Linked DNA regions of Drosophila melanogaster. Changing the gene in region 1 together with any one later gene gives a genetic interaction. Each region holds a gene or a part of one and is shown on either strand. Other genes may lie near its edges.

Region 1 (6,628 bases):
TTACGATGAAATTTATACAATCTTTCTATTTGGCAGCGCTCAGATCGGGCAGCTCGGGAAACAGAAAGATAAATATACAAAATTAACACGTACTCAGGTGAAAATGAGCAGGTAGTTACCCATGCGATAGCAAGTGTGTGTTCTTGTGTATGAAAGGACGTCTCACACACACACACACACACACAAGACCACCACTCGTTGAGCAAATAACCCCAATAAATAAGCCAAGTTAGACCGATTCGAGGGGCAAGAGGAGGGGGAGCCGAGTTCCAAGCCAAGATGTTCATGAAAAAAGTTAATTAAGGTGTTTGCCCCGCAACAACAACAAGGCCGGGCATTATATGCTAGATATTTATCTCCCGGCTGGGGAAAATGGATCTGGTTGCATGCCGCAGAGTGTTTGCTTTTGAAATGTTTGTCATTATCGTCGTTAACTTTTTGATGAGTCGAACGTGTGTGATAAAAGTGTCACACGGATTGAAAAGAGCGACGAGCGAAAGGAAAAGAAAAACTAATAACGCAGACGGGCCAGAATGAGTTTGTACGTGTGTGTGAAGAGATATATATATGGATGTTGGGGTATATGTATATAGAATGTATCTTTCGGATACCAATTGCCATTAGTTTATTGAGAATCCGAAATTTATGGCTCTGCGTGTCGTGGCCAACCACGCACAAATGGTCACAAATCTGGACCTGAAACACATGTGGGCCTGCCTTTGGTTCCTCCAGCATCTGTGGCACGTACAAATTTCATTTGTTGCACTATTTATGTGCTTCTCCACTGATGAAAATGAAATCAAATTAAATTTTCGGCACAATTCAAAGTGAAATTTTGCAGCTAACATAAAACAAGGCAAATGAGGAATAAATCTCCCGATGTGTGTCCTGTGCGCTGGGTTTTCCCATGTGGGTACATTGAATGGGAAATTACTGGAATTTCCTTTCGGTCAGAATTACATGCGCATATTTCGGTAATATCTTTGAAATTTACAGTAAATCCTAGGTATTTGAAATGAAAAACACGGGCAGTGTGGCAAATGTGTATATTAATGCATCTTTGCGGGGAGAAGTAGCCATTATGTTGCCTATTAAGCTTATCCAGATTTGCGTTGCTTTGTTTGATTTGACGTAAAGTTATTTGCTTGGAAAGAAAACATCTTAAATCCTTGAAAATTGTGGTGTAAGCCTAGTAGTAAACATTAAAATTGTTGTTGTAATATTTCAACAAATTTATTTAAATTTCAAAGACTTTAGATAATTACCAATTGGGAAATGGAATCAACACAAGATTGCTATGAAAATTGTACATGAATTCAAAGATTATTCATAAGCATGTCCTAATTTTCCATACGCCGTGCATAATTACAGAAAACACAGTTGCAGAGGGATACGATTTCCATTTGCATTTCCCATTCCCCGTCCCTGTCGCACTTCACACGCTGCTCCCCCGGGAGCTATGTCCCATCCTTGTTCCGCATTAGCAGAACGCACTTCCACTTCATTTGAGTCGCAAGCGGCAGAGCGAGAGGGTAGATGTTGTGGAAGTGTGGTTTTAATTGGCACACAACAACAACAGCAAGCAGTCTGCTACGTGCTGGCAATTACATTTTACATTTTACTCAGAGAGAGAGACTAATCAACTAATAAATCCATAATCACTGTTATTACGTATGCTGCCTGAGATGCTTAGACTTTGAAGTTAACCGGTTAAACTTGGCTAACAAGAACTGAGAACTACTGGCCAACAACAACTGCCGGCTTTTCCCCCAAAAATGAAAACAAAACAGTAGAAGGCTCTCTTGCTCTACCACTTTCTCTTATACTCTTATACGAAGTACCTGTATTTCAACTGTTTTCCTCTCTCGCATGACTTTTATCGCATGCGATTTGTTTATAGTGCAACGACCACAGACACGAAGATAATTCGTGTGTCTCTCTCTTTTTCTCCCACGCATCTGTACCTTCGAACGGTATTTGTGGGGTAGAAGAAATTGCTCGACTTATTATATCGTTTGCCACTCAGAAGTTAGGGAAAGAATTTTATTTTTTATAAAAATCCTAGTCAACTAACATAAATCAACTGAAAGCTCGATTCCTCATATTATCACATTGTGTTATTGCTACAAGAACTGTTGTTCTAAAAATTCTTATCAGTACGTCAAAAATATAAAAAAATTTCGAGACTAGCATTTTTATCCAACTCATATTTATTTATAATAAGCTGATTATATATAAAACCCAAACAGCTTTATAGAAATAACTTCACACGTTATTTAAGGTTAAAAAAGTAGCAAGATAGGATGTTATTAAAAGTAGAATATAAAAAATATAATAATAATTTAAAATGTCTTAACAAACTGGAGCTTAAGGAACCAAAAGCAAACAAAATGATATAAAACATATAAAGACTGTGACAAAATTATTAAAATTTAAAATAAAATATATTAATAGGCTGATTACAAATTTAAGTAAATAATGTTTTCTATATTGAGCAAAGGGTATCTTGCCGCCGACTCAGCCACTCTCTCGTCTTTCCCTCCACACTAAGCGCACTACCAGCTCTTCATCTCTCAGTTCTTCTTTCTTTTCGAGTCGAGTTCAGTTTGTTCCGAATCGCCGACGTGAACGCACGCTTGTCGCGCTTGTAGCAGTTGGATTTTTGATTTTCCCAGCCAGAGTCCCGCGTTCGTGTGTTGTGGGCCGCTTTTGTTTGTCTCGTTTTGTGGCCAGCGATTTGGCAACCGAATAAGCCAAGTTAAGAGCAACGCTACGCAGCACAAAATCCATAAAAACAAGAAACACAAGGCGCAATTAAATGCAAATGTGTGAAAGTGTAGCAAGCATTTAACCAAAAATAAAATCGCAAAAAATCGCGGCTTCAAAGTGCGAACAAGCGCGAACAGAGAAGCTAAACAACAGTGCCAGTGCGTGTTTGTTCGTGGCAGCTTAAGAAAAGCCAAATAAATATTAATATTTGCACAAGAGATCGCAGCGGAGTAGCTAACCTCACATTTAATAAAACACGTATTAAAACGGTAAGTATTTACGTCTCCTTGTTCAGTTATTACACTTTGAACCGTGCCATCTCGCTCTGTCTCGTTATCTCCCATTCGATTTTGCTTTGTGCTAAGCTTCGCTTGGCTCGCGCTAAGCTCAGCTATCTCTGTCCCACTCTCTGATCAGTCCAATTCGCCTATAATTGCACAGAAAAAAATTTACCAAATTGATGGCTCATCGGGCAATTGGTTGACATTTTGTTCCAGTTTTGATCACAGTCAGATAAAATCAATTTAAAGTACATAAAATGAGCTGTAAAATATTTGTAAACATCTTTAAATTGATCTATTAATACTACTACTACTACTACTACTACTACTAGTACTCTGCGTAAAACCGTATTTTTTCCTGTGCAAATTGGCGATGAATAACAGTTTCAGCAGTTGTAACCGTTGCACAATTTTCCCCAGTGCTTGTGTGTGTCACACTCTTGTTGTCCACAATTTCCGTGGTTTTTCTCGGCACTTTCCAGGGAAATGTGCAAAATGCTGCAGTGCAGCAGCAAGTGCTCTTCGGCCTTGGGGTGTGCTTTGCGTTTTGGCCAACCCATGAACGAAACAAAAAAGAAAACAAAGCCACACGCATTTGGCCCAAAGCTCACGAGCCAGCATATTAACACTTTGAATTTTTGGCCAAAAACCAGTTTGGAATCGAAAAAACAAACAGACACAACAAAAGTTTATTTACTACCAAAGAGAGCTTCGTTCAACAGGTTTTCATTGCGGGGACTTTTATTCGTATTGAAGGTGGAAATACCTGGGTAATGCAGGTTTCAAAAGTACTTCTAACAAACCAGAAAATGCCCACTTGTGCTTTAAAAGCTAATAAGTTGCTGATTAGAAACAGCAAAACAAAATAAGAGAAGAAGGAAGGGACAAGAATCTTCTCGCTTGTACCAATTATGGTAAAAATCGTATGACCTTATGATAAACTTAGACTTTTGTTTTTAATTCATTTCGATTCTTCTTGGGTTTTCCAACACCATAAATCTCTTCTTAGTTGATAGCCCTTGACCACTAGCTACATTTATATGAAAAATTCGGAAAACCCCAAGATTCAACCCCAAAAGTTCAACGATTATCGCTCAGAAGCAGCAGGTCTTGAATTCAAGAACAATGCTGTTTTAACAATAATTATACAATATATATAAATTTTGATTGTATTTTTTTCCGATAGTTAACATCCTGCCATTGAGCTTCTTTCGCCTGAGGGTTTTCCGAATAACTGTACTCTGGATTTAGGTTAAGATTTTTCTTCTTTGGCCCACATCAAAGGCAAAGAAGCTTTCAAAGCGGCTATAACAATGGCGGCAAACTGAAAAAAAAAAATGCTAGTCTTCGTCTGTGAAGGTAAAACTGCGGAAGTCATTTAACAGTCTACTTAACTTCTGCCAAAAAAAAAAGAAGTGAACGAAAAAAATGAAGTGGAAAACGGCAAACTGCAAACGTTCAAGATGCTCCGCTTGGGTCTTTCGTCTTGGCCACGTTAGAAAGTAGCTGTAATTGTGGCTCCGTTATTGTTATGGCCAAACCGCCACTAGTCCAACTGCAGGCGGTAAAAGTTGCCCAAAATGAATTGTCATACAAACACGTTTGTTATAAATATTTCTGCACAATGAGAGACTCATTTAAGATTCATTGTACTCGCTTTTTTAGTTGTTAGCTTTATTTTTCCCCCTCTCATTATTGAGGGCGTTTGTCCACTCGGTTGATAAGCGAAAAGGCAGAAAAACAATATTCAAAGCTGACTCCGCTTTGGTTTTTACATCTGCCAAGTGTTTTTTAGCTTTCTGCTATTTCACTCTTAGTTATTGGCGACTTGTGTTGATAATTAGCACGTCGGCTTTCAGCGTTTCTATGACTTGTGGTCCGCTCAGCGTGATGAGTCAGCCTCCTAAGCTGAAAAGAGCGTTACGATCGAACCACCATATGTCTTACTCTCCCGATCTCAGATCAGCGGGCGGTTTAACCCAAAGTCAAACCAGATCCGTGACGTAAATGGGAGACAAATACACGCAAAAAAAAAACAAGACTGAAGATCTGAAGATTGTATCTATAAGATCTGTTATTAAAGTGATATGTAATTACATACTACATTCTTATATGATGACTATAATGACTAATATAAACACGTTTTAATATAGTACAAGTTTATATTATATAGCGTAATATCATACTTACCGTATTGTTATCACCTGTTTTTTTTTAACAACTCATTTCTTTTCGTGTGATTTCAACGTGTGAGGTTTTTTACTCTCCAATCAGATTGAACTGAGATAGAACTGCCTGACCAGTCACAGGGCTTATTGCCTTGCATTCAATTAATTAATTTCAATTTTATTGCTTCAGCTGACCATAAAATCGTGAAGGGAGGAATAACCATAAGTTCCCCACTGCGACATTCTCTCGGTGGAGGGAAATGAAGTCGTTGCACTTGCTTTCACCCTAATGCCTTCATCAGCTGCACAAACGAAAAATCTCATTAATTTTCCACTTTCTGTCTATCTTTGGGTTATCTCTCCATTGTTTGTCCCCGTCCCAGTTCCCTTTATGTTCTTACTATTTTTTTTTTTTTTTGGCCCTACCTGCGTGCAGGAGTTTTCCCTCATGAAGTTTTCGGTCGCGACATGTTTTCTGATCCGTGTCCTGTGCTCTGGTCTAGTTCATTAGATGGACTTGGCTAATCGATTTCCATAATCAAACAGATGGCGCCAGAATATGAGAACGAGAATGAGACATAGCAAATGAAGCCGAGTAAATGTTGATATAATAAACCCCGTGTGGCAGGGCCAATTAGGCCTTACTCCTCACCTGTGACACAGCCACATATTTTCTCATTTGAATAAAGAAACACGACCACAGCAGGGGAAACATTAGACGCGCCTAAACGTAGAAATTAGCGGCCACAGAAAACGGGAGGGAAAAATTCCAAAAAAATAAACATACCGAAAAAGAGAAATTTAATTAAAGCCGCATAGAAAAAAATGCATAAATTTAGTCACCCAAAACACCCACCCACCTGGCATGTAATATTTGTAACCTCATTGCGGCGGCAGGGGAAAGGCGGTGTAATTTTCACGGTCCCCGATCTGCAGCTTTTCACCAACTTGGCGGGTCAGTCCGGCATAATGATTAGGGTCAGTGTGGGGTGGAAAGTCGGGAAAACTCCTGCCACCCAGCTGGAAAAGGAAAAGCAACAGCAGCGGCATAAGCATCAGCATCAGCAGCAGGTTGCCAACAATTTCTGCTTATAATTTTCCGTTTTTCATCCTCCTTTTCTTTTTGGCCCGCTTTGTTCTGGTCGAGATAAAAGCATTTGTCATTAGCATAAAATGTTCTGGCTCAGGTTTTGATCTGGAGTTTGGCCCGAAAAAAATTAAAAATGCTACGAATATTTGAACTTCATTAGTGGGCCAGCGAGCCCAAATGGGCACTTGGCTATAATTAAAATTTAAGCTAATTTTAATGCTCAGAAAAGCGGGGAAAGGCAAGCCGAACAACAGTAAGTCAGCAACAATTTGGGCCAGATATTATAAAATACCTCAAATGGTGAATGTCCAACGCTTGAT
Region 2 (9,618 bases), about 11 Mb from region 1:
CCCAAGATTGCGATGCAATTAATCATCGGACAAAACGCATTGTTCGCGTTCCCTGGCAACGGCGATGGGATCGGGCGTGGGGATCCGAAGGTGGAAGTCGGACCCCGGGCCTGCCCACTCCTCGGATTCGAGCTGCTGCTCCCGAATACTTAAGTCGGTCATTGGCGCTTGGCCAGTGCGTTTTTTTTTCCGCTTCCTCCATTTCCACATCCACTTCAGATGCTCCCTCGTTTTTACATAGTTTTCTTGACCCAATTTTGCTGTAGGACGAGGTGCAAAGAATTTTTATTGCTGATACTTTTACGTAAAAGTTCAAAAGCATAATTATTTAAATCATTACAGCAGGATGGATATGAAAAAAAATACAAAACGTGTCCCATATTCCAAATAAAAAAGTTTTGCATAGTAGTTTGGTTTTATGTAGTTTTATTATTATGTTTTCACTGTATAATAAACTTGGTTTGAATGCATGTATATGTATGTTTTAGTTCGATCTTGAATCGTTTTATAAATCAGCTTAGTCATTATTATCTTTATTTAATATAATTAATAATTAAAACTGTGCGAAACTCGCATTTTCGCCTATCAAAAATTACTCCTAATCAAATTTTCGGTTAGTATTGGGGGCTGGATCTGGATCTGGATCTCGGTTGTTGGAACGGGTTTATCTTTTTCTATTTTACAATACAAAAAACAACTCAAGTTGCTCGAGATGATCTATGATCTGACTGGTTATATCTCTCTCGGTTTCTTTCTATATATAGTCAATTTTAAACCATGTTGTTTTATTATATCGCTTTAGAACACATTGTAGTTTGCAGTTCGTGTAAGTTTTTGTTTTTTTTTTTTTAATCGAAACCAAAAATTGTCTCACACAACTCAGTAAACTTAGACAACTATTTTGAAAGGTCTCTTTCGTCCCCTTCGACGGGTAGAAAATGCTTCGATTTGGGATACCAGAGATGTTGACGTTCACTAAGGCTAGTATTCAATTTGCTTCGGATGTCCCTAACCGATTTCTAAGTCTTTGCTTTAGATTTCTAGCTGGTTGCCCCTTGGCTGGCAGACTTGCCTAACGAGTCTGTCAGAAGGGTTATTGGGCTTGTTGAAGTCGATTCTCGGGTTGTATGTCTATTAAGCCATGCTTAGGGGTTCTATATTTTGTCTATGTATTGCTTGATCGATCTGAGATTGATATTGGCTAGCCTAGATGTCAGCCGCAAACTTGGTGAGCAGAAAGCAAGGACTTTAAGCTGTTCAAGGATATAAAGATTGGTTCAATCGGAGCTATCTGATATCTCTCCTCAGCATAGGCTGGCTTTAGCTAGTTAGTTCGTTCCTAGTCATGATTTGGAACCATCATCGTCACATGTCCAAGACTCCAACCGAAACATCCCGACTTGCTGGCTCCTCAATTCTCGGTTCTCCTCGAGTTCCACCTAACTTCGCCGCTTCTTTGGCATTTTCTTTTCGTTTCTATATCCCTTCGTTTTCGATTTGCTGTTTATTGTAATCATCGAGTGATAGGTTTCGTTTAACATTTAGAAGAGAGATTATGCTTTCAATTTCTTTGTTTTCAGTTGAAATTCCCGAACTTGATTTTATTTAATAATTTTTATTTACAATATTTATTTTGTTTTCTTTACGAAATATAAAATAACTTTTTGTTTCGTTTTATTCTTGATTTTTGTTTTTATTGCGCATATAAAAATATCAAAAATTCTTTATTTTCTTTTAGGTTTTTTTTCTGTTTATATAATTTTTAATCTTCCTTTTGGAACTATTTGTAAGTCTGTTGTGGTTGATTTATATATATTTTTTGCTGACTTGCTCTAAGTATACAAAACTTGTTATGAACTTTTCAATGCCAAAAATGAAATGACAAAGATACATTTTTTATTGTGTCAAAGGTTAAACCTTTTCTGTGGCCTCAAATGGTGACTTCCATTTTCCACACGACACATACATCCTTTGTTTTTTTTTTGCATTTACTCTTGAGTTTTTGCTTTTTTTTTATAAATATTTACAAATATATATTTTTCGTAAAAAATTATAATAAAAAATGGCGTCAATTGTAATCATTTTGCTGTTGCCGTTATTGTTTCGAAATATGTTTCTGCCTGAATATAACTTTTAGTTGCTTGCTAATTATTGGCGCCTATAAACTGCATTGATGTATGTTTCCCTCGTTTATTAACTATTAGTTTGTTTGTTTCTGTTGTTGTAGTTTTGCATAAAGCACAGCACATTAGAGGCAATTTTAACATTATATATAACTTGTAATTGTTTCTGTTTCTTTTTTGCTTCTTTGGAGTATAAATAATTTATATATACGAGTGTTGCATGTGGGGGCGGTTGTTGAATATGTGTATTTCGATTTGTTGCTGTCAAGTTAACTAAACTTCATGTTCGCTATATGCTAAGTGGCTGTGTGAGTGCTGTCTGCGTGAATAATCTGTATAATCAATCAGCTTAAGCGACCCCTAGAGGATGCGATCCGATGATGCATGCTTTATCCTAGCACTAAGTCGCTCTAAGTCGCTTGGTTAAATGTTTTCCTTGCGTTTAAAATTAACTAATCACTTCAAGCGCTATGCCCCAAGTGTTATATTTAGTTGTATATATAATTATATATATATATATATATATATTTATATATATGTGTATAATCATATGTAGTAAATTATTTTCCTCGGCTTCGGCTGTTGCCCTTTCGTTCAACGTTCCCTTTCTCATTATACAAAAATAAGTTACTATCAATTCAATTCTCTTATTATTGGTGTATATAAACTAGCAAGAAAACCCTTTGCTTGCCTTCGTTATCATGGTATAATTAATATTTAATATATTCTTGCTGTTGTTTTCTTTTGCCCATTTCTATGTGTTATAGGTATAGTATAGTAATAGGTGATGAAGCAGAACATGATGTGTGCTGGTAAAAGTTTGTAAACTTGTTCTATTGCATCGATGCGAGACTTGTGGAAGTACTAATGTGCGACGAGGTGCCCAACGTGGAGGCCATGTCTCCTTGGTAGCTGAACTGTGGCGGTGAAACCAAAAATTGGATGAGCATACAGAACCCCACTTTAAATGTTTTCAACTAGATCTTACCTGCGGGAAAAGCGGCTCTTCGGCTATGGAGCCCAACGGGCCAGTGGGATCCGGCGGCGTCAACTCCACACTCTCTCCCGTAAACTCCTTGTCGAAGTACCTTGTATCCGTATCGGATGTCACCTGAGGCTTGAAAGGCGGCGGTATCTACGGTAAGCATTTTAAATTCGATTAATATATACGAATAGGTAACTGACAGATTTACTGTGCCCTACTTTTTTCAACACTAGATCTGTCCAGTTAATACTCGCAAAGAATGGATGTGCTTGTATCTCCTTGACATCATCCTTTCCACCTCCCAAACGCTTTTTGGGATCCTTAGCTAGAAGGCCTGCTAACAGATTTTTCGCCTCATCTGTGATATTACGCGGGAATTTTACCTCCTCCACCAAAATCAATGTAAAGAGCACATCATGATCACGATTGTAAAACGGAAGACGACCACAGATCTGTAAGGAATTATTTTTGTTTTTAATACTTGTTAATAGTATTTGCAGATGCAACAAACTCACCATCTCGTACATGACCACGCCAGTGCCCCACCAGTCCACCGCTTGGCCATAATCATTGTCATCTAATACTTCCGGAGCTAGGTATTCCGGTGTACCGCAGAAGGTTTTCGTTGTGCGGCCGTAGGTGATGTCCTCCTTGCACAGACCGAAGTCTGCGACCTTTATGTGACCATCTTTGTCCAGCAAAAGATTTTCCAGCTTTAAGTCGCGATAAATTATGCCCTGTGAATGCAGATAGCCCAGAGCAGAAATGATCTCTGCCCCATAGAAACGTGTTCGATCCTCAGTAAATATGCGTTCGTGGCTTAAATGCCAAAAGAGCTCGCCACCGTTCACGTACTGCATCACAAAACACAGGCGGTCGTTGGTTTGAAACGAATATTTGAGTGACTGCAAAACAGGGAAGACATATATTAGTTTTTTAACGTAAATTATATATTACTAGCAATACTTACAATGAGGAACGGATGATTTGTGGACTTGAGCACACGACTCTCGGTCAGGGTATGGGCCACCTCGTCCTTTTGGATAATAACTTCCTTTTTAAGAATTTTGATCGCGTACAGCTTGGCGGTAGCCTTCTCGCGACACAAAATAACCTTACCAAAGGTGCCCTTGCCGAGCACCTTGAGGAACTCAAAATTCTCCAAAGTCTACAAGGAGATAAGATGGAGTCAGCTCGATCACGCCCTTGGTCAATGACCAGGTGAGTGGTACTTACCACTTTCTTAACGCCGCTGCTATTACAAGTCGTTCCCTGTACGGAGAACTGCTCGGAAAGCTCGTCCTCGGCAATGGTGGCCATGTCCACGTCTGTCATGTCTGTCTGTTCAGATGGCGTCATAGCCACCTCACCCACATCTATGAGCCGGCTGGATACGTTGCGAATGGCCTCCGTCCACTGCTGGCGCTCTAATTCTGATTCGACGGCAAATGTCCTTTCGATTACCGTGGTCCATTGCAGGCCGCGGATGATGAAGGTGAATGGCTTGGGCCGATCGACGGTCATGATCTGGCAGCCGCGCACCGTAAAGTTGTTGAGCAGGAAGTCCGATGGCGTGCTGGCACTATCTGCCGGCTTGCTGCGGTAACCCATCAGTCTTCCATCGGAGTGGAGCACGAAGTAGCGCTGGCGCCAGTTCTTTATGTGCTCGCCCCTCTTCATCAGCCACCCCTCCTTTACGACCTGAGTCTGTTCCGTAAGCGCATGACCCGATGTAACGCTGGGCGAGCTGAGGTCGAAAGTTGTGTTTATTGACATGGTTCCGGAATCGTGTGTAGGGGCCGCGGAGGTCCTGCTTGGCCAGGATTGCTGCCAGCTGAATTTCTCTGCACTGCCGCTGGTGGGGCTGCTGTTTGGATGGGTGGATTGGCTGTAGATGATGTTAATGATGTTGCTCCCTGTGGTGGTGGGCGATTCCGGGATCCTAGAGGCAGATCCTGGCGCTGGGGCGCTGGCAACCACAGTCGATCGCCGCTGAAGAACAAACGGTAGGTAATTCGTGTTGAGGCTGTTTCACTAACCCTAGGGACAAGCTAATGAGGGACCTGTAAGAGGAGTACAGTGAATCCTTTATATTCATGCTGAGTTTGAAATACTTAAACTAAGAATGCGATCGACGAAAAGAAAAAGGCTTTAGCAGAGGGTTCGTCTAGTAACACCTTTACCTTCAGGGATTCAACATGTACTAGATATTAACTGATCCGCCAACTGTCGACATAAACTAGTCAAAGTGGACAAATGGAGTTCCCAAATGAGCTAGCTATCAAAAAAGGGGAAACAGACACTAAAAGGCTGCCAAGTCTATCCAGATATATACTTCCCACATCGCCTATCTCACGCTGATAGTAAACAATTGTTATTGTCATTTTGCATGTTTATGACAAATGCAGTTGGCGCTTGCGTCAGCAGCTGGTGCAAAACATTTGCGGCATTTCCGTCGCCAGAAAGGGATTGAATTGGATTGAGGACTGTGATTCTGATTGTATCGAATTGGATGGGTTGGTATGGTGTGGCATGGTATGGGATTGGATTCTTAGTCACTGGCCCACATGCAGATGTAGGCGCCATCGTCGCCTTGTTGTTGCTGCCACTTTCGGCTTCAAACGAAATTCCCCGCCATGTTACGCAGCGACACGGCGATACGAGTGAAAATTGTTCGCGATTGCATTTAGCGCGAAATTAAATCAAAACAAGTCGACGGCGGCGACTGTTCATGAACTTATGTATATGCATATATAATACATACATATACATATGTACACATACAGGGGACTCGCAGGCGGCACTCGCACTCGTACTCGCACTCACACTGGCACAACTGCAAAAGCAAAAGCATATTCATTTACAATTTGCGAAAATGTCAACGACGGATGGCCGCCGGCTGTACAAATGTCGCTATCTATCTAAAACTGTAAACAAATGTACATAAAATAAAAATCGACAAAATACACACACAGGCATAAGCGGACAGGCGCTCGCACACCGAGGCAGTCACACAGACAGGGCTGCATTGCAAAGTGCGAGTGAGGCCAGACTGTGGGTGCGAGGGGGAGGGAGACAGACAGTACGCGTGTCTGCCACAAAGGTGTATGAGTGTGAGTGTATGTGTGAGTGTCTGGCCGTGTGCGTGTGATTGTCTGGCCGTGTGGGTGTGAGTGGCTGAGTGAGTGAACCACCGAGTGTGCGAGTGTGTGTGGGCAGCGGCGACCTAGCAGCGCAACATGTCAAATCACTTCGTGGAAATGGAAATTGTGGAAATGCTGGTGAAAAATACAAGAACCCACCTAGTTTTGTAAAAAAAAAAACCCGACTTTTGCTTTCCCTACTGCACTGCGGTTTGTTTTCCTACTCGTTTTGGTATTTTCCTTTAGATGGTGACGGCAGCGACAACGTCACAGGCCTTCTTATTATTGTGCGTGTGTTGTTGTTGCTGCTTGCTATTGTTGTTGTTGCTGCTGCTGCTGTAGTTGTTGTTGTGTTAAGGTGCCAGACACCAGAGGACGGAACGAAACACACACAATCTCGCACTCGCGCACTGGAAGTCGATTTCCGCCACCCGGGCGTTTCCACTTGGTGTTTTCTTGCCTTCCAAAGCAACGTTGCATCAATTGCAAATGCTTAAAAACGTAGTTTTCATAAACAGAAGCACGCACACAGGCAAAGTAAATTTTCCAAGTACCGTTTAGTTTTTACGCTTCACTTTTTTTCGATAACTGGCTCGATAACTGATTCGATCCGCGTTGCCACCTGTTTTAGCGATAGTTAGGCGACTGTTACGGTGGAAAGATGCCAGAGAGAGACATTATTTAAGAGCTGTACAACGCGCAAATATCCCTTAAATTTAAATTAAATGTTTTAGAAGGCAATAGTTCTGTTTTCTGACTGTCTAGGCCGACTCTTTAACTAGAATTCACTTCAAATTTGAATGTATGAACTGCAGATTAATAATAATGCTGTATTGTTATTAAATTCATTTTTAAAAACTTTATTTTATATGCTATGTATACAAAACTATTTCTTATATCGACAAATTGTTATAACTTTTCAAAGCATAATTGATCAAAAATTTGGAAGCCCTATCAATTTTATATATGGTTCCTGTCCGCACTAAGTAGATACTCTGATAAGTATGACCATGTGTAAGTAGCTAGAAAAAGTCAGTTCTCTTTTCCAGTTTCCCAGATCAAATTTGATATTCACCTCTTTGGGCACTCTTGCTCAGATTTGTTTATGCAGAACGCGAAGTCTCCTTTGAATCCGAAAAAAAAACAAAAAACGAGTAGCGAATAAAGTGCCCCATTGGCACAAAACGAGGTAAATAACTTGCAACCCAATCGGAAGGGAGAACATAGCATGCCACTTTCAAATAAACAAATAACGACTCCAGCGCGACTGTGTGTGCGTGAGTCCCTCCCAATGTTTGTGTGTGTTATCAAAAAAGGCGTAGAAAAGTGCAAAAACAAAGGTGTTATTGACTCTCAACTTTCTTTTTCTGCCTATCGTGTGTATCACTGTGGGCTGTGGCCGAATAAGAGCGTTCGCCGAATATGAGCAATTGGAAAAGCATGAGCATAAGTAATGAGGCAGAATCGGTTGCATTCAATTAGTTGGAGAAATGAAAAATATGAAGAGATGGTGTAGAGAGAAGGGAAGAGTGCAGTCTCGAGCAATCAATACCAACGCAGCCACGAGCCCCCCTTTCTTTGTGTGTGTGTGTGTTACCGTGTGAAAACAAAACAAATGTATGCTAGCTGTGGAAAAGAAAGCGCATAATTGAATAATAAATAATAACAGAAACAGGGCAAATGGCAACGACTCAATGACAAAAGTAAAGCCGCCACCGCAGCAGAAGAAATGTGGGTGCAAAAGTGAAGAAATATGCCATTGTTTATGTGATTTGCAAATGTGCACATTCACACAAACACCGTGGCAAGATAACGGTTGTTGTGCGGGCGGGTGCATTGCTCGAAGTGGCTGTGCAATTGTAAGAGCGAGATAGCAATACGAAGAGAACAGGACTGAGCAGTACAGGGGCGAAATCCAGGGGACCTTAAACGTGGATTATGGGCACCTTAAATGTTTTTGTAAAATCAAATCACATAAATACCGTACTTTAAACTATTCAGTGAATTAAAATTGTGTTACTGATTTTAAAAATGTAAGTTGTAATTTCAAGTTTGGAAATGAACGGTATGCCCTGCACGTTTGTCTAGATCCACCCCTGGATAGAGCGCAGCAAAGAGAACAGTGCAAATCGAATTAGTCCAGACTTTTGGTCACGCCCTTGAACTTCGCATTAACCCACCAACGCCCCCCTTCCGCAGCTAGCACCTAAGGACCCCACACACCACATAAGATGTTCAACTTTATGAAGAAGAGCGCTGGGGATGAGGACAAGGAGCGTCGCAAGCGCGAAAAAAAACTGCGCAAAGAGGCTAAGGGCACCTCTGGTGGCCCGGGAATGGGAGGCGTGACTGGCGTCACCGGCAGCATGAGCACCGACGAGCTGCTCCGCCTGGACGAGGTGCGCCGATCGCTTAAAATCCGAGGGCGACGCAAGGAGAAGGAAAAGTTGCCGAGCGGAATTACGGCGGACTATAGCGCAGACTTCTTTGCCGCCCTCAATGCAGATGCAAACGGCGGAAGCAACGGAGGAGCAGTGGGAGCTGCAGATCCCGAGCAGGATCGTGGCAATGAGGAGATTGTAGCATCTGTGATGACGCACATCGAGAGCCGAGCGTCCAATGGCGCCGGCGTGAGTGTCAACTACAGCGAGGTCACACATTCTCTCCTCTCTGGAGGGCTCAAGGTGAGGTCTTTGTCGTTTTCTTATCCGAAATCGTATTGAAAAACTTTGCTTCCACATTCCAGAATCGCTTTCTTCCACCTATACCCCCAAAACCACCCAAGCGTGGCATTCTGAAAGGCTCCCGCAGTAATATGACCAATGTCCACGAGGAGATTAGCTTTGCGGGTAGTGCCGGAGGAGCAGGTGGCACGCCAGAGATGCTATTGCGCAACACCTTTCAGAATGAATCCCTTTACGAGGGAGCTGCCAGGGGAGCTGGTTCGATCGGCTCGAACTCCAGTCAGCATGGAACCTCGTTCACTTCCGTGGAGAGCCTGCGCAGCGATGGAGAGCAGACAGGAGGTCAACAACGGGCCATGACCCTGCCGGCCAACGCCCGCTATGGAGCTTTACCCCAGGGCAACAGTCAAGGATCGCACCTCCATGTGCTCACCTCGCCGTCGCCCAGCGCCGACAGTCTCACAGATACCACAAACTCCTCTTTCGCCACACCCCCATTTTCGCTGAGTCCCGTCGGCGAGTCCCAAGGCATCGACCGTTGGGCCCGCGTCCATGCCTTCGAGGATGTGGAGCTGCCGCTGCCGCCAGTGCAGCTAGTAAAACTTCCCCCACCAAGGCAGCTAGTGATCAGGCGACAGAAGTCTCCGCGCCAGGACTTCGGCTTTAGCCTGCGCAAGGCCATC
Region 3 (6,943 bases), on another chromosome or scaffold:
AGACCCCAAAATATAAAATTTTTAATTCTGTGGATACATAAAGTAGTCGCACATATTGTCGGTGCGTTTCGTCACTATGTGAACTGCCGCACAGTGAGAAATGGGTGCACATACATTTTTCGTGTCACGGTGTAGCCTCAGTATTCACCAAGTAATCGATATACGGCGTTGAGGTGCCCATGTTTAATCTAGCCTATCGATAGACCTTACCGCCTGCAAAGTAAAATGTTGAACAATATTTTAAAAACATCCAGGCAGGTGCTTTATCCCGTAGCAAGGACTTTCAGCCGCAGCGGCAACCACGGCAATGTGGTGACCGAAGCCGCTGCGACAGTGGGCGCACCTCCGGCCACAAGATCACCCCTTATTCTGCCGCAAGATTACACAGATTGCTTGCCGGTGAGCAGGAACACGGCGCGCCAGGCATGGATTGAGAACACGGATGCTGTGGCGGAGCGAAAGGTTGGCCTGATTGAACTGCATCCGGATGTCTTTGCCGCCCAGCCGCGCGTGGACATCATACAGGAGAATGTGGAGTGGCAGAGCAAGTATCGTTATGTAAGCATGGCGCACACCAAAACTCGAGCGGAGGTGCGCGGTGGTGGTCGGAAGCCGTGGCCCCAAAAGGGAGGTGGTCGTGCCCGCCACGGTTCCCTCCGTTCGCCCATGCTGAAGGGCGGCGGCGTAGTGCACGGACCCAGGTCGCCTACGACCCATTTTTACATGCTGCCCTTCTATAAGAGGGTTTTAGGATTGACCTCCACGCTGAGTGTTAAGCTGGCCCAGGATGATCTGCACATCATCGATAATGTGGACATACCCACCGGAGATGCAGAGTTCCTTAAGGATTTAATCGCCGAACGGAATTGGGGACCTTCTGTTTTGATTGTAGACGAGTGAGTTCTGCTTGTAGGTGAACATATAATATGTAAATTGATACTGATTCTGTTTTTCTCAGAGACCATATGTTCCCCGCCAATATTTGCCAGGCTAGCGATGATCTGGGCTATGTCAACCTGATGCCAACCTTTGGCTTGAACGTCTATTCTATGCTGAAGCACGATACTTTGGTGCTGACAGTGGCTGCAGTGAAACATCTGGAGCAGCGCCTGCTCTACCAACTTAATCGAAACGACGCCGCCAGCAAGGGCGGCAAGTTTAAGCTGGATCAAGTCTAGAAGTTAAGAAAGTTAAATCCTTTAGTTTATTTGTAACCTTTATGGATGCGCCAGAAAATGCATTGTTAAACAAAAAATGCTTATAAGATCAAAGTTATTTTGATGTGCTCTTGTAGACGTCAACAAATGCGCTTAGTTCTTTGTTTATATCGCTAGCCACGGTGACCAGAGGATCCTTGTCCACTTCAGATACAAATACCAGGCATTCTTCATTTAAAGATTTGGCCAATATAGGGCAAAACTCATGGAGAAAACCCCTTTCTGAATTACTATGATTGCAGAGAAGAACGGTGGTATTGTTGTGAGTAAACTCCAGAACTTCGTGATGGGACATTTCGCCGGTAATGATAAGATCCGCTTGGATACCCTTCAGCAGAGATGCTCCAGAGCCGGCACAAATGCCGACGGATTGGATGAGTGTCTTGGGGGTGTGGCCCACAGCTAGAGCAACGTGCACGCTGTTTCTAATGCGCTTTTGCAGAGACTCCACCACCTGGGAAAGCTCCATTTTGGTTTCTATATATCTACCGGATCCGGTACCCGGAGGAGCACCCAACTCCGGTTCCAGAGGGCGGATGCTGATGATATTCACTGCCTTAGATAGCCAGTCGTTGACGCCACCACTCTTCTTATCCCACGCCGTGTGGGGCGAGTACAAGGCTATATCGTTGGCCAAGCATGCTGCCACCACGCGCTCCTTCCAATGTGACTGCGTAATCCTGGTCAGGGGCTTGAAAATTGGCGGATGATAGCTGATTATGAGCTCCGCCTCCTTCTCTAGCGCTTCTTTCACTACGGGCTCGGTTAAATCGTTAGTTAATAGTATTTTCTTGATTTGTTTTTCGCGGTGCGGTTCGATCAGGAGTCCCACATTGTCCCACTTCTCTGCCCAAGAAGTCGGAGCAAAGTTCTCCAGCTCCTTGACCACAGCCGCCAGCTTTTGACCACTAAAAGTGTTCATCCTTCTCAGCATTCCTTGACGTCCTTTGCAAAATATTTCTGGTCCTGCGTTTAAGATTTTGTGCAATTGACTTATTGGCCGGTAAGTGCTGCCAACTTAATTTTTGTTGTTTTACCTGCTCTTAAAATCATCTGTTATCACCCGCAATTTTTAAATTGGGCGATAAAGTAATTGGTTAATATTAATAAACATTAAAAAACACTACTATAATTTTATTAGCAGGTCACATTTTTGTTGCGTAATTTTGTTAGAAAAACATTTAATGAATATTTGGATTTTATAATAACGAGAATAGCAAAACAGTTTTAATAAAACGATAAAAGTTTATGTTATAGCAAACAAATAATTAGAAATTAACAAAATATTTAAAAAGTTTATATACCTTAATAAATTTATCAGATTGGCACCAAACACTTGTTTTTAATAGAAAAACGAACGCCTGATAAATAATAATTCAAGAAATTCAATCGGAAGCCGAAGAATTTAAATTTTAAAGAATAATTTAATTAAGTCATACAAAAGCAAAAAGCAAAACCCGACAAGGAAATGACCAAACCCCTAAAACTGAAGAGTAATTTACAAATTCCCAGCAATTTAATCAAAATTTTAGGAAACAAGTCCGATTTTTTAATAACCTATTTGTTATAATAAATAACTTTACAACTACGAGAGGCGGAATTTTAAATTTTAAATTAAAAAAGCGAGCAAAAACTTTCGAAACTACTTGTGACCGTAAACACAGGTTTTATGGTAAGAATCTGATAATCTTGTAAAGCCCCTCTAAATTTCTTGGATTCAGATAATTTTTTAATCAATACAACCTTGTAAAAACCAAAATAATCGTATATATAATATTTCATGAATTGGCGATAAAATGTGATTGAGTGTTAAAAAATCCCAGAAGGAGAGTGTATGACAAATCGGTCGCTCAGAATATCCCATGAAATTCAGAATTGGTCGAGGTTTCAATCGAAGCTGACCTGTGAAAAACCGAAGAAAGAATCCTGCATTTCATTTCCGTTCTCGGTCAGCGGGTGATTTCCCAGATATTTGTCCGCCTCGCCGTCATACGCATTTCAACCGTAGGACGCCGAGCATCAACATCAAGTGGCTTCGCTCGAGGAACTAAACAATCACACAATCAGAGAGTAAGAAGTATAAATAAACGCATCGCTGCTGTGGTTGCTTTTGTTGCAGCTGACCATTTAGCTGCTCATTTTGTTGTTGGGAGATTTTAACTTGGCGCTCTCCCTACTATCTGGCAACCCTATGGTCTCCCTCGCACACATGTAAAACTGATTTAAGCCCCGATTACACACTCCATCGTCGATATATTAAGGCAAACGTTTTCACTTCGGTCTTTTCAAGTCTAGAATTTTATTTTTTTTGGGCAAATATGAAAAAATAGATTTTTTTCAATTAACAGTTTTCTAAGTAAAGAAAATTTAAAATCGAGACTCTTCATTTCGTGATAACTCTTAGTGCAAACGGGGCTTTATAGTATAGACTGCCATATAAATATATACATATCAGCGCGCTCCCTCAATTTCATTCGCTATCGAAACGTGAAAGAAAGCAGACGTGCGTCCGGGTACTATGCGAATTGCAGATTACAAACATTTAAACCATAAATACGCGTTTTAAAGACAGCTTCGCAAGACAATTAACCAGCAAGGTAGTGAGAAATCCATAGAAAATAGTGCTGGGGTTTAAACCCAGAACATGTGCAGAAAATAAAAAGCGAAAAGGAAGCTGTGTGAAAAGGGAGATAAAAAATCTACCTCAGTGTGATTGTGGGTGTGTGCGGGTGAAACAACCGTGAAGAGGCAAATAAGACATTGGCAAATGGAAAAATCTAAAATTTTCAACCAGTGTGAAACCGTAATTTTTATTTTTCTGCGGCTACACTTGTACATAAGTCCATAAATTGCCTTTAATCTACAAAAATTATTGCGTTTTCACTTGTTCGCTGGAGCCTATATGTTTGTTTCACTCGCACCACCGAGGTGAGCGCTTACTGTGCGTGTGTATGTGTGTGTGTTTGAGAGACTGGGCTCAAAAGCAAAGTTCAAAACGACAGGAGTATATATATAACATATATACATATATTTTAGCCCAACTGAGAGAGGAAAAGCACGAAAATGCCGAGCCCAACAAAAGCAGCGGAGGCAGCAACAAAGGCAACAGCAACAAGTGACTGCAGCTGCAGCGCTGCCAGTGTTGAGCAGCGCGCCCCCTCAAACGCGGCTAACCCCTCGTCCTCACTAGCCACTAGCGGTAAAATTGGCGGCAAAACACAAGATCAAACGGCCGCCATTAACAAGCAAAAGGAATTTGCCGTGCCAAACGAAACCAGTGATTCGGGCTTCATCTCCGGCCCGCAATCCTCGCAGATCTTCAGCGAGGAGATAGTCCCCGATAGCGAGGAACAGGATAAGGATCAGCAGGAGTCGGCACCCCAAAAGGAACAGCCCGTTGTCCTCGATTCCGGTATTATCGACGAAGAAGAGGATCAGGAGGAGCAGGAGAAAGAGGAGGAGCACCAGGACACCACCACTGCCACCGCCGATTCAATGCGACTCAAACACAGCGCGGACACAGGCATCCCACAATGGACCGTCGAAAGCCATTTGGTCAGTCGCGGCGAACAGCTTAACAATCTCGGCCAGAGCAGCAGCACCCAAATCACCGGTCGCAGCAAGGTTCAATCCTCCACAGCCAGCACGGCGAACGCGAATCCTTCGGGATCGGGAGCAACATCATCCGCTCCGCCCAGCAGCATTAATATCATGAACGCCTGGGAGCAGTTCTATCAACAAAACGACGACGGCGACACGTAAGTAAACATTATAGAATCTCAGGAAATGTCACTTTATTCTAGACTTTCAAATTATTTATATATGTGCAAACCACATTTATAGATAACTTCGAATGTGTATTTTTAATGTGGGGAAATTCCCAAGTATGATTTAAACATTTTAGCGCCTTATCTCTAGGTCACTTTAAAAACTTTCCCATGCTTATTCTTAGACTAGCAATCATAAGAACTTTATATTTTAAATATTTTATACAATTGGACGGTATTTTTTGAAATTGGAAACGATTGATTATATTTAGACTGTCACAATCGCCAAAAAAAAATCTTTATTAGAATTTAGGTCTTCATGCTCTTAAAAATCAATTTAACATACTCATTGACAATTCACGATTAAAGATTTATAAGCACAGTCTTTGAATCATTTCCGAATTTCTATGAACTTATACGTGCCGTATTTCCGATGAGAATCCTAAAATTTCCCAAAATAACAAAGACAACGCCGCGTTGCACTGATGACCACCAAGCGAGCTAAGGGGAGAGTTTCGTGAATCACTCAAAGACGATTGTCTGAGGCGAGAAACGCGACTGACACATGTGTTTTAGTCAGGCTTTGGGGTTTTCCTGGTATGTGGGCAGGTACGGGAACAGGTTTTTCGGGGCACCTCTTCTTTCTTCACATTACTTTACCTCTACTTAACTTACTTGGGTTTTTACGCCGCCACATGAACGGCGACAAGTGTACAGGAAGGAAAGAAAGTGCGGGTGTTCGATCGCCAGGTAAAAGAAACCCACAAATTCATGTTGTTTTTTTTGCTCTCTCTCTCTCATTTCAGACCTTTGCACCTGGCCTGTATTTCGGGATCAGTGGACGTGGTGGCCGCCCTGATTCGCATGGCTCCTCATCCGTGCCTGCTCAACATCCAGAACGATGTGGCCCAGACACCCCTTCATCTGGCCGCTCTTACTGCCCAGCCGAACATCATGAGGATACTTTTACTCGCCGGAGCTGAGGTAATATTCAACAAAGATCGAATAAGAAGATTTAGATATTTGCATATTTGTAAAATCTAGCTTAATCCCCTATTGACGAATGTAATGTCATATCATCTTGATTTTCTAACAAAAGCTAATTTAAGTATTTATATTTGTAACAAAAGATTCCCATTACTCATTTGAATAGCCCACGGTGCGCGATCGTCATGGAAACACAGCTCTGCATCTTTCCTGCATCGCCGGAGAGAAACAGTGCGTCCGTGCCTTGACAGAGAAGTTCGGCGCCACGGAAATCCATGAGGCCCACCGACAATATGGACACCGATCCAACGACAAAGCGGTCAGTTCCCTGAGCTACGCCTGCCTGCCCGCCGATCTGGAGATTCGCAACTACGATGGTAAGTAAAGTGCTAGTTACATATACCGCACTCAAGCAATAATAATTAGTTAATATTACTGATTCCACAATTTCGTATAGATAGCAATATATTATTGCTTGGGTATGGAAATCACGAGCTATTTGTCTCGCAAACTTGTAGGAATTTTTCCGTTCTAGTAAAGTGAATATTTTTGGCCCAGCATTTTCAGGCATTTATCATTAAGAATATGAATCTGTGCCAAAAATGTACCAATTATATAAAGCTCTATATATGAACATATACATATATGATATAAATGGTGTCCCGCCAACGGCTAGCCAAACTGCGAGACATTGTCGTCTGCCATATAGTACACATTGTATATATGTACGTTATAGACGTACATATGGTTATGGGCTATATAGACGCCTTTGAGCAGATGCCAAAAATACATTGGCCTCCCCGAAACATTTCGCTTGAAATTTTCGCTCGTCAAAACGTTTAAAAAAAAAGCAAGCCCCCTCCCTGTTCCTTGTTCATTTGCGTTATTGATTAACCAAAATAAACGAAAAGCACAGAACGCACAGAAGCAGAACATTTGCAAAGTTTCAGACGTCAGCAAAGTATAAAAAAA

What was found. A genetic interaction does not mean that the proteins touch.
Region 2: of Tl (region 1) and Akt, changing one suppresses a phenotype caused by changing the other (phenotypic suppression), as found in Drosophila melanogaster (3 studies listed by BioGRID).
Region 3: of Tl (region 1) and cact, changing one suppresses a phenotype caused by changing the other (phenotypic suppression), as found in Drosophila melanogaster (2 studies listed by BioGRID).

What each region holds. Positions count from the first base shown.
Region 1 is NT_033777.3:26,796,443-26,803,070, forward strand, and holds the start of Tl (toll), read left to right. Parts: upstream 1-2,598; 5' UTR 2,599-3,038; intron 3,039-6,628. UniProt on the Drosophila melanogaster protein: Receptor for the cleaved activated form of spz, spaetzle C-106. Binding to spaetzle C-106 activates the Toll signaling pathway and induces expression of the antifungal peptide drosomycin.
Region 2 is NT_033777.3:16,096,453-16,106,070, reverse strand, and holds Akt (Akt kinase), read right to left. Parts: upstream 6,844-9,618; 5' UTR 6,411-6,843; intron 5,312-6,410; exon of another isoform or gene 5,292-5,311; intron 5,172-5,291; 5' UTR 5,128-5,171; coding exon of another isoform or gene 4,885-5,127; coding exon 4,345-4,884; intron 4,277-4,344; coding exon 4,079-4,276; intron 4,014-4,078; coding exon 3,624-4,013; intron 3,561-3,623; coding exon 3,327-3,560; intron 3,259-3,326; coding exon 3,112-3,258; intron 3,041-3,111; coding exon 2,957-3,040; 3' UTR 401-2,956; downstream 1-400. Other genes in the region: Mhcl (myosin heavy chain-like), read left to right, coding at 8,483-8,935, 8,998-9,618. UniProt on the Drosophila melanogaster protein: Serine/threonine kinase involved in various developmental processes. During early embryogenesis, acts as a survival protein. During mid-embryogenesis, phosphorylates and activates trh, a transcription factor required for tracheal cell fate determination.
Region 3 is NT_033779.5:16,322,365-16,329,307, reverse strand, and holds the start of cact (cactus), read left to right. Parts: upstream 1-3,100; 5' UTR 3,101-3,287; intron 3,288-3,682; exon of another isoform or gene 3,683-3,814; intron 3,815-3,887; exon of another isoform or gene 3,888-4,253; 5' UTR 4,254-4,280; coding exon 4,281-4,975; intron 4,976-5,790; coding exon 5,791-5,968; intron 5,969-6,137; coding exon 6,138-6,348; intron 6,349-6,943. Other genes in the region: mRpL4 (mitochondrial ribosomal protein L4), read left to right, coding at 226-896, 959-1,178; CG4278 (uncharacterized protein), read right to left, coding at 1,273-2,151. UniProt on the Drosophila melanogaster protein: Involved in the formation of the dorsoventral pattern. It inhibits nuclear translocation of the dorsal morphogen in the dorsal region of the embryo. Acts as a negative regulator of the NF-kappa-B (rel) signaling pathway.